Linked DNA regions of Tribolium castaneum. The main gene of each other region encodes a partner of the protein of the gene in region 2 in a complex. Links are inferred from orthologs where the notes say so. Each region holds a gene or a part of one and is shown on either strand. Other genes may lie near its edges. The genes, in order: zinc finger matrin-type protein 2, beag and Prp38.

Region 1 (2,722 bases), on a different chromosome or scaffold from region 2:
TCTGATACGACATACATGAAAGCATGACGTCAAGTCAAAGACATTTCATTGGTTTATTTGTAAGTGGTCGATATGGAATTTAGTAAAATTCATTTTTACAAAAAATAAAGATATTTTCACACCACACGCCACTGCGTTTTAACGCGATTACATCGAAAAGTTCGTTACGAACTTTGAAAAAATCGCCAAATTAGCCAAAAATATTGTTTTTACTTTTTTCAAGCCTTCAACAAGTTTTGGAGCTAAAAAGTTGAAAATATGCAATCAAGTTTGGTGCAACGGCAACTTAATAAAATATAATTAACATTTGAATTTAATAGTACTTACATGTTACCTTTGAGTGTTACGAAACTTATTTAACATCATGGGCTTCTTTGATCAAATATTTAATTGTTTTCAGGGCTTACAAAGACATAGCTGACTGTTATTACATCAAAACTGCGAAAGTGTGTGGAAACAGCGCTGCAGCAACAACTAAAGAACTTCTACAGTCGATAATTGACAGTATTCTCACAATAAGCTGTGACAATGTGAAGGAGACGCCCAAAGTCAAGGACCCAATGCCTGAGGAATATATGAAAAAAGAAAATAAGGCAACTTGTTCCTTCACATTTATTTCATTTACAATTATTTTTTACAGGCTGACACAATGATTCTTCCAACTGTACTTCACTTACTAGTTAGCATAATATTGATTTTTATTTAAACTTCAACAAATCTAAATTATTGTAATAAAGGTATTGAAAGACATTTTGCTACTTTTTTTTAGACGATCCAAAACCTGCAAATCCCATAATGCTAGCAAGCTCACTTGCTTGTTCAGATGTTTCTTCCAACATTTCCTCAGCTTTTCGCTTCTCTTTCCTTTTCTCCCTCCTGTATTCGCGTAGCTTTTCCTCTTCTTCGGCAATTTCCTGCATGCGAGCTGCCATATCGTAATCTTTTTTCTTCTCCTCCATTTTCCGCTTGTTTTGGTCAAACCTTCGTTTAACTGCGTCCAGACTGCTGCGTTCGATCCGCATCGACATTCCCAAGTTTCGTTGATGCTTTTTGCCATTGATGTGATCCAAAAAGTTGATTGAATCTTTAACAACACAGTCGCAGACGTTGCAGTAGTAGCCCCCCGATTGTGATGTTGGTGTGTTTTTGTTTATTACAATGCTTTTGCCAAGCTTTGAATCCAGGTCTACTTTATACTCTCGGGTTTTTAGCATTTCACGTTTCACCGGGGGGCCTTTCTTTTTCTTGGTTTCTTCTTCGAGGCGCTCGATTTCTTCCCTCTTGCGCTCCTCGGCTAACCTCTCGTATTCGTCCCTGTCCCATTTTCGGCGGTGGTCGTCTGGTCGCATAGTCATTTCTGATGATTTTTCTTTAGCAGGATCACAATCAATTAATAAAAACTCAAGTACAATAACAGTGTTGACAAACTGCAGTACACATTGACAGCTGTCAAATTTTCAAGGTTAGGTTATGTTGCTAACTTCATAAGAATAAAGGTTCATTTTCTAATAAATTGCGAATTTGCGCCATTCAGGATGTTTATATATATCATTAGATTATTACAATTGAATTCATTAAACTCATAGAATACTTAATAGATTTTTTAATTTTTTGGTTATTCGACTCTGCTATTACATCTAACGAAGTTAGCTGGGTTACCTGTTTAAAAATTTAAGATGGGAAAAGATCAAAAAAATCCCGTAATCAAGACAATTAGTTATTTATTTCAATTTTTTTATTAATTTTTAAAATCTAATTCACAGAATCTTTCGTTTGCAATTTTTCAGTCTGTGGCTGTTCAAACTACCACTACGTTATGAGTTAGTTATAAGTTATAAATACCAAAGAAAAAGTGGATAACTCAAAAAATTTAAATTTTTAACAAATTATTATTTTGGGTAGGCAACACAATATTCAAATGGCAGCCTACGCAACTAATTATACAGAGTGTTCCAAGTTTTATGGTCGAAGCAAAAATTAATATTCTAGTCGAGTACAAATAAATTAAATTAATTTAAATTACAAAAAATCAAATTGAATTTAATTCAAAATTAAACTAATTCAAATTAAGTAGCATTAAATACATTGACAAATGTCGAGTTAACCGCGATTAAAATTTAATTGCAATTAAAATGTTTTGTAAACCGGCGCTCTTAGTCTAGACAATTAATTACGCTACCATTTGATATTTTGAATGTGGTCAAGTATTAATTGCTGTGAAACATTATAAACCAATTTTTTAAAATAAAGTTCAAGGTGTATTTTCTATTATATGATAAAATTCTTTCAATATTTAAAACCGTAACTGCTAACATAGAATTATACGATTGTTGCCAACTTTTGAGTAATATTATTATTATTACATTATCAGAAAATTCTGATGTGGGCTCTATTCCACAAACGACTTTTACACTTTGCGCTTGCACGTTCCCGAACACCTTTATGTTCCACCAACAACAGTATTTTGCACACTTAGCAAAAAATATACTTAGCAAAAATACTTCTTTTTACAAAAATATGCCAAAACAAATGCAAAGATTGGTGGAAGACATTAACTTTAAAATTTGCAATTTATGCAAAATGCAAAGTTGCAAAAAATTTTAGTGGAACAAGGTGATATTTAGTGATTAAGGTGATATTAAAAAAAATATCAATTTTAAAAAGCCGATTATGGCGAAACTATAAAGATTGTAATCAAAATCTATTTGATACAATATTACAT
Region 2 (3,735 bases):
TCTTCATAGAACCTAATGACAACTTGGGGGCACTTAATATTCGCCTGTTTCGCGGGCACTAAGTCCGCCTCATCTGTACCCTCCCACTTCATGAGGAACATCAACTGCCCGGAACTATCCGTGGCCCCGATTATTTTTTCGGGCTCTAGCCCCCTATCAAACCCGTGCACTTTCTTCTCGTCGTTCTTCCTCTTGGCCCCCTTCATGTCGGGCGTCGGCGTGCTGTTCATCTTGCGCTTCTTGCTGCGCTCCTTGTCTTTGTTGGCCCTTTCGGCCTCGAAAGCCGCAATCAGCCCGGGACAGTCCAGGTTCTCCTCGGGCTCCCATGTGTTGTCCTTGTCGTCGTAACCGATCCATTTCAAGTAGTATTCCTTAATACCGGCCGCATTTATCCGACTGTCGATTATTTTCTCCACAACGTACTCTTCGTTGGCCTCTTGGTCTGCGGGGGAAGGACTCGTCCTCTTGCTTTTGCTCATTGTGCCCTGATGGAGAAAACACACTGTACACACCGGGGGGCGCACGGGGCACACTTACGCCGAATTTTACTCAACTTTGGAGGGATTTCGTGCAAGAAATTAAAATAACTTCAAAAGCCGCAAAACAGACGCTTTGCTCACAATTTTCAAACAAACATGGCGGAGGTGCGCTCCGCCGGTAACAAGCAGGTTCCTACACCCCTATTTACTAATTTAATGAATTAAAAGCCCCAAATAGTGATATTTCCGGTGAATTATTTATTATTCAAGCCGTTTGCGTTTATTCACCGTAACGTAAAGCCCCCCCAGTATGAAAAAAACGGTGGTTAGGCGCCCCAACTGAATCTGCACTTTTTGGTTTGAAACTTTGATAAATTTTGTTTGCAAAAAAAAATACGTGTAGGTTTGCAAAAATACTTAATTAAATAATTACTAAGTGTTAGTTGTGGGACAGGGTTGGAAAGTTGTTTTTTTTTTAATTTTTTCTACGTGTTATCGACAAGAATTTGCTGTTTTTCCTTGATTATTTTGGTTAATTATTCGCGATAGTAATTGTAGTAAATGCAAAAAGCTTGTTTTTAGCATTTTGGGGCTATTTGGTCTCATTTGAAGTGGTTCACTGTAATTTTTTTCTGGCTAGGAGGAAGCAAGGTTATGTGATTGACAGTTGACAGTTCTAGTTGCAACATTCAGGCCCAGTTTTTGGTTAAAAATGCCTTCGGACGCGGCCCCCGGGTCGCAGCGGCTGACCAACGACGACTTCCGCAAGTTGTTGATGACCCCGCGGTCGGCGCCCGCGAACGCGCCCGCCCCCGGCTCCATCCGGGAGGCGATGGCCAACTCGTCGACGATGCCGCCCCCCAAAGACGACAAGAACGAGGCGCGACGCAAGAAGAAGAGCTACTACGCCAAGTTGAAGAAGCAGGAGGACAATAAGATGGCAGAACTGGCGGAGAAGTACCGAGACAGGGCCAGTGAGCGCCGCCAGGGGGTGAACCCCGACTACCAGAGCGACGACCCGGTGGCCACGGCTCAGGCCTATCGTGCCGTGGCGCCTGATCTGAAGTCGGGGTTCGATGCGGCCGAGAGGCGCCGACAGATGATTCAAGAGAGCAAGTTCTTGGGGGGCGATATGGAGCATACGCATTTGGTGAAGGGGCTGGATTATGCCCTGTTGCAGAAGGTGAGGAGCGAGATACAGCACATCGAGCAGGAGCAGGAGCAGGAGTTGGAGAGGCTGGCGGCCAAGACGGAGGAGAAGGAGAAGAAGGAGGTGCAGAAGAAGGATGAGGATGAGCTTAAGTTTAAGACGAAGATTGGGAAGTCGATTTACCACACGATTTGTGCGCTGAAGAGTCGGCATATTGAACGGTCGGAGATTTTTGTGCCCGGACGCATGGCCTATGTGATTGATTTGGGTATAGATAAATTTTTTTCTTATCAATTTTTACACATAAACTACGTATTATAGATTATGTCTGAAATTTTCAGCTGTTCAAGCCTGTAATTCTTATAGACATCTTCTTAAGTTTCGTTTAAAACATTTTCAGATATACCTTTTTATTGTTTCTGTACTTTTTTTTAGATTCTTTTCAAAATCACAAAATTTTTGTGATTTTTTCTTAAAGAGGTCTTTAGATCTTAAATCAGCAAAATTTTCGTTTAGATTCTCCTCTCTTGCTTATAAGAATTCTTCTCTAGTTTCTTTTATAATATTTCTTATTTATTTTTTAGCATTGTTTTTGTATTTTCCTTTAGATTTTTTTAAAGATTTTTGTGATTCTTTCTTAAAGAGGTCTTTAGATTTTAAATCAGCAAAATTTTTCTTTAAATTCTCTTTTCTCGCTTATAAAAATTCTTCTCTAGTTTCTTTTATAATATTTCTTATTTATTTTTTAGCATTGTTTTTGTACTTACCTTTAGATTTTTTTTAAAGATTTTTGTGATTCTTTCCTAAAGAGGTCTTTAGATTTTAAATCAGCAAAATTTTCCTTTAAATTCTCTTCTCTCGCGTATAAACATTCTTCTCTAGTTTCTTTTATAATATTTTTTATTTATTTTTTAGCATTGTTTCGGTATTTTCCTTTAGGTTTTTTTAAAGATTTTTGTGATTTTTTCCTAAAGAAGTCTTTAGATTTTAAATCAGCAAAATTTTCCTTTAAATTCTCTTCTCTCGCGTATAAACATTCTTCTCTAGTTTCTTTTATAATATTTTTTATTTATTTTTTAGCATTGTTTTTGTACTTACCTTTAGATTTTTTTTAAAGATTTTTGTGATTCTTTCCTAAAGAGGTCTTTAGATTTTAAATCAGCAAAATTTTCCTTTAAATTCTCTTCTCTCGCGTATAAACATTCTTCTCTAGTTTCTTTTATAATATTTTTTATTTATTTTTTAGCATTGTTTCGGTATTTTCCTTTAGGTTTTTTTAAAGATTTTTGTGATTTTTTCCTAAAGAAGTCTTTAGATTTTAAATCAGCAAAATTTTCCTTTAAATTCTCTTTTCTCGCTTATAAAAATTCTTCTCTAGTTTCTTTTATAATATTTCTTATTTATTTTTTAGCATTGTTTTTGTACTTACCTTTAGATTTTTTTAAAAGATTTTTGTGATTCTTTCCTAAAGAGGTCTTTAGATTTTAAATCAGCAAAATTTTCCTTTAAATTCTCCTTTCTCGCTTATAAAAATTCTTCTCTAGTTTCTTTTATAATATTTCTTATTTATTTTTTAGCATTGTTTTTGTACTTACCTTTAGATTTTTTTAAAAGATTTTTGTGATTCTTTCCTAAAGAGGTCTTTAGATTTTAAATCAGCAAAATTTTCCTTTAGATTCTCTTCTCTCGCTTATAAAAATTCTTGTCTAGTTTCTTTTAGAATTCTTCTTGTTCATTTTTTAGCATTGTTTTTTTACTGTCTTTTAGATTTTTTTAAAGATTTTTATGATTATCTCCTAAAGACTTCTTTAGATCTTAAATCCGCAATTTTTTTTATATTCTCCTCTCTCGCTTATAAAAATTCTTCTCTAGTTTCTTTTAGAATTGCTCTTATTTATTTTCTAGCATTGTTTCTGTACTTCTTTTTGGATTTTTTAAAGGTTTTTGTGATTCTTTTTTAAAAATTTTTACATGAATTTTAATGTTAAAATTCCTATTAATTTAATACCAACATGACTATTAAAATTTTATTTCAGACGATGAGGCTGAATCAGACATTCCAACAACTTTAATCCGTTCAATCGCCGACGTTCCGTCATTTGAACT
Region 3 (3,091 bases), on a different chromosome or scaffold from region 2:
CGAAACAACGCATAGTGGAAAAACTGCGACGCAGCAACTGCTTAGAAGCAATCAATGAGTCGCTGAGTGCGAAAGAAGAAACTTGCATTGTTGCGGGTTTCCCCGAACTTAGGCACTATTTGTACAAATGCAAAAGTACAGCACAGTTCTACCAACCAAGCTTGACCCCACCGTACACCAAATATAACGAGAGACTAACAAAGTTGTACAAACGGGCGCATAACTTGTTGCATTGCTCGACGAGGCCGCTAAAGTTGTTATTTGAGAAAAACTCAGACGAGGCGATTTTGGCGTGGGATACGAGAGGTTTTGAGCTTTATGTAGTTTTCGAGCCCTTGATTGACACAAACAGTGCGATTAACTCAGTGGGGCGGCTGCTGAACTGGATTAAGAAAAGGGAGGAGAAGTTGTTTCATCTCAATGCGCCCACTTTTTGAGCCATTTGATTTGTATATATTATAAATATGTAAATTTTGTGGAAATCTAAGGTATAGGCTTAATCTGTGATATTCACAATCCTAAACTTGTTGATGTATTTAATTATTGATTGTATAAAACGATGTATTGAAAAATCAGTGGTGTCTGTCTCGCTCCCGTTTCCTGTCTTTATCCTTACGATCTCGCTCTTTTTCGCGGTCTTTCTCCCGGTCCTTGCGCTCCTTCTCCCTGTCTCTTCTCTCCCTATCGCGCTCCTTCTCCCGGTCGCGGTCCCTCTCCTTGTCCTTCTCCTTCTTGTGGCGTTCCTTACTCCGACTGCGATGCCTTTCTCTGGATCTGCTGCGTTCCCGCTTCCTCTCCCTTTCTTTCTTCTCTTTGGGCTTTTCTTCAACCAACTCGTACTTGTTTTCTTCCTCAAGTTCAATCTCTTCGTCCAAGTCGTCTTCAAGGGCCGAGATCTTGGCTTCGAGTTCGTTGCTTTCTTCCAAAACAATGCGTTTTTGAATGCGTGGCAAAATAACATCACAAACCTTAAAAATTAATTTTACTATCTACCGTAACAAAAAAAACACGTACTCGTTCCTCTCGTAACAATTCGTCAATAAACTCGTCCATGTGTACAATTTCAAACTGCGCTTGGCGATTTTGTCGCCGCAACTTCCTGTTGTCGTTGTACAAAGGCTCAAGATATTTGTAACAGTCTAAGGACGACCCTGTGAGTCTCATGTAGAAAGCACCGAGGGCTCTGACGTATTTAAACTCCTCGTTTTTGATGAATTCAACTACAATGTCTTTCTCTGGTTGAATTTGTAGCATTTTTAGTGTCAAACATAAAAATGGTGTTGGCTTTATATTGCCACCATAAACACCACCCACAAATCGTAATTCCATTGCCTTGTCTACTAAAAGCTCTGCAGTGAGGGCAAAACATTCCTCCTTCCAGTATTTAGAGTCATAAATTCGCGATCTGATGATCTTTTCAACCAGATACTGGGGATTTGTGCCATGGATTGATTTGGCATCTTTTACGGTCCTATTTGCCATAATTGGCCTAATTTAATTTGTAAACTCACTAACGCACCTTATGCACAACTGAATTCGACAGAAATGCACAGTTTATCAATAAATTCTAAGAAATTGTTGACGCTTGTAGTAAACACAAAGTGAGGTTAAAAATGGTTCGCTCTTATCAGACTTTTTGCTTTGCATTGTGAAAAAAATTACAGACAAATAATACTGTGTGAATAATCCAATTAGGAAATACAGGCTAAGGTTATACATTACAAAATTAAACAATAGTACACGTATGAAACAATTTAGTTCTTCAATAATAAACAAGTTTCACGTTTCCCGAATTTCTCATAAAAACTTATTTGCTAATATCGTCTAGTCCCCAGGCGTGACTCGCGGGTGGGAATCCCACAAAAAGTGCCAACCTTTGGTAACTTTGGTTATTACCACCAGACACCATTCTAATTTAAACATGAACAAACGCTCATAATTTAATAAATAGTATTTATGCAAGTAGAAAATTATTAACGCATCCAAATGAGCGTATCGATGGTATTGTTAAAGATGTAAAATTGCTTTTTGGGGGATTGGGTGATTCAAACACTTGCGATCGTTTTAAAAACTTTATTGATGACATTGAGACAGTTAGGCATTAGCTTTATTTGTCTATTTTATGTTTGTTGAGAAGTATATTATAAATTTAGTGTCTATTTACTTATTACTTAACACGTTCACCACCTCGAAGTGGAGTAAAATTGAAAATCAACTGCTGTAGAAAGTCTTGCAATGTTTGTATTGTGGAAAACAGACAATAACAGAATGAGTGAATACAATAACAATAACAGTGAAACACAGGCAGCAAACGTGTGGACTATATACATAAGTTATTTTTCGAAGAATTTTTTGTTTTTATATTTTTTTAGATTGTTTAAGCCCGATAAACATTCCAACTAACTTAAAAAGTGGGCGTGAATATTTATTTCCAATGATTTAAGTTTTTTATTTATAATATACGTTTGTAATACAATATAAAATAATGCTCCTAACACACTCGTTTTTCTCATTTTTGTTTAGGTACAAGTTTCCAGAATTGCAGTTTTCGTATATATCGTATATTAATAACAAAATAATAAATACTTATCAAATAAAATTTTAACTATTTACAATTTATCCCTTAAAAATATTAAATTCGTTAAAATATTTGCAAATTTTTGTATACATGACGAATCCAACACATCCTAAGATTTCAGTCCATTGGATCACAAAGTTTTACACTCAACTATGCTAGAATTTTGTTTCTAATCAGTCGGACATAAGCAACAAAACCAAAAGAAGCACAAGAAATACACTGAACATAAAATGTCACACGCATGTTATTGTTCCACATGAGAATGATGTTTAGATGTGGTTACATGAATCACCTAATGACCAAAATGCTGTACAAGACAGTTGGCACTATCTAAATATAACAAGATTTAGGCCGAACTTCCTAACAAGAAAAATCGGGGGGAATAATGGCATGACTGCAATATTTTCGCTCGCAGAAAAGCCGCTTCCACCCGTGATAAAATAAAACTAAACGAATTTCACTTTTGAGTATTTATTAATAACAAAATGAGAGGTCGTACAAAATAATTTAATT

What was found.
Region 1: beag (region 2) and zinc finger matrin-type protein 2 share a complex: the UniProt entries of both Homo sapiens proteins name them as parts of the spliceosome B complex. The link is inferred for Tribolium castaneum from reciprocal best matches to the Homo sapiens genes IK and ZMAT2.
Region 3: beag (region 2) and Prp38 share a complex: the UniProt entries of both Homo sapiens proteins name them as parts of the spliceosome B complex. The link is inferred for Tribolium castaneum from reciprocal best matches to the Homo sapiens genes IK and PRPF38A.

The regions. Positions count from the first base shown.
Region 1 is NC_087395.1:20,717,114-20,719,835, reverse strand, and holds zinc finger matrin-type protein 2, read right to left. Parts: upstream 1,473-2,722; 5' UTR 1,356-1,472; coding exon 756-1,355; 3' UTR 707-755; coding exon of another isoform or gene 641-706; 3' UTR 599-640; downstream 1-598. Other genes in the region: uncharacterized protein LOC656218, read left to right, coding at 401-593, 641-706. UniProt on the Homo sapiens protein: Involved in pre-mRNA splicing as a component of the spliceosome.
Region 2 is NC_087401.1:16,338,105-16,341,839, reverse strand, and holds the start of beag (protein Red), read left to right. Parts: upstream 1-893; 5' UTR 894-1,191; coding exon 1,192-1,897; intron 1,898-3,665; coding exon 3,666-3,735. Other genes in the region: chromobox protein homolog 3, read right to left, coding at 1-479. UniProt on the Homo sapiens protein: Involved in pre-mRNA splicing as a component of the spliceosome. Auxiliary spliceosomal protein that regulates selection of alternative splice sites in a small set of target pre-mRNA species. Required for normal mitotic cell cycle progression.
Region 3 is NC_087396.1:19,988,188-19,991,278, forward strand, and holds Prp38 (pre-mRNA-splicing factor 38), read right to left. Parts: upstream 1,649-3,091; 5' UTR 1,483-1,648; coding exon 1,015-1,482; intron 969-1,014; coding exon 573-968; 3' UTR 520-572; downstream 1-519. Other genes in the region: vacuolar fusion protein MON1 homolog, read left to right, coding at 1-437. UniProt on the Homo sapiens protein: Involved in pre-mRNA splicing as a component of the spliceosome.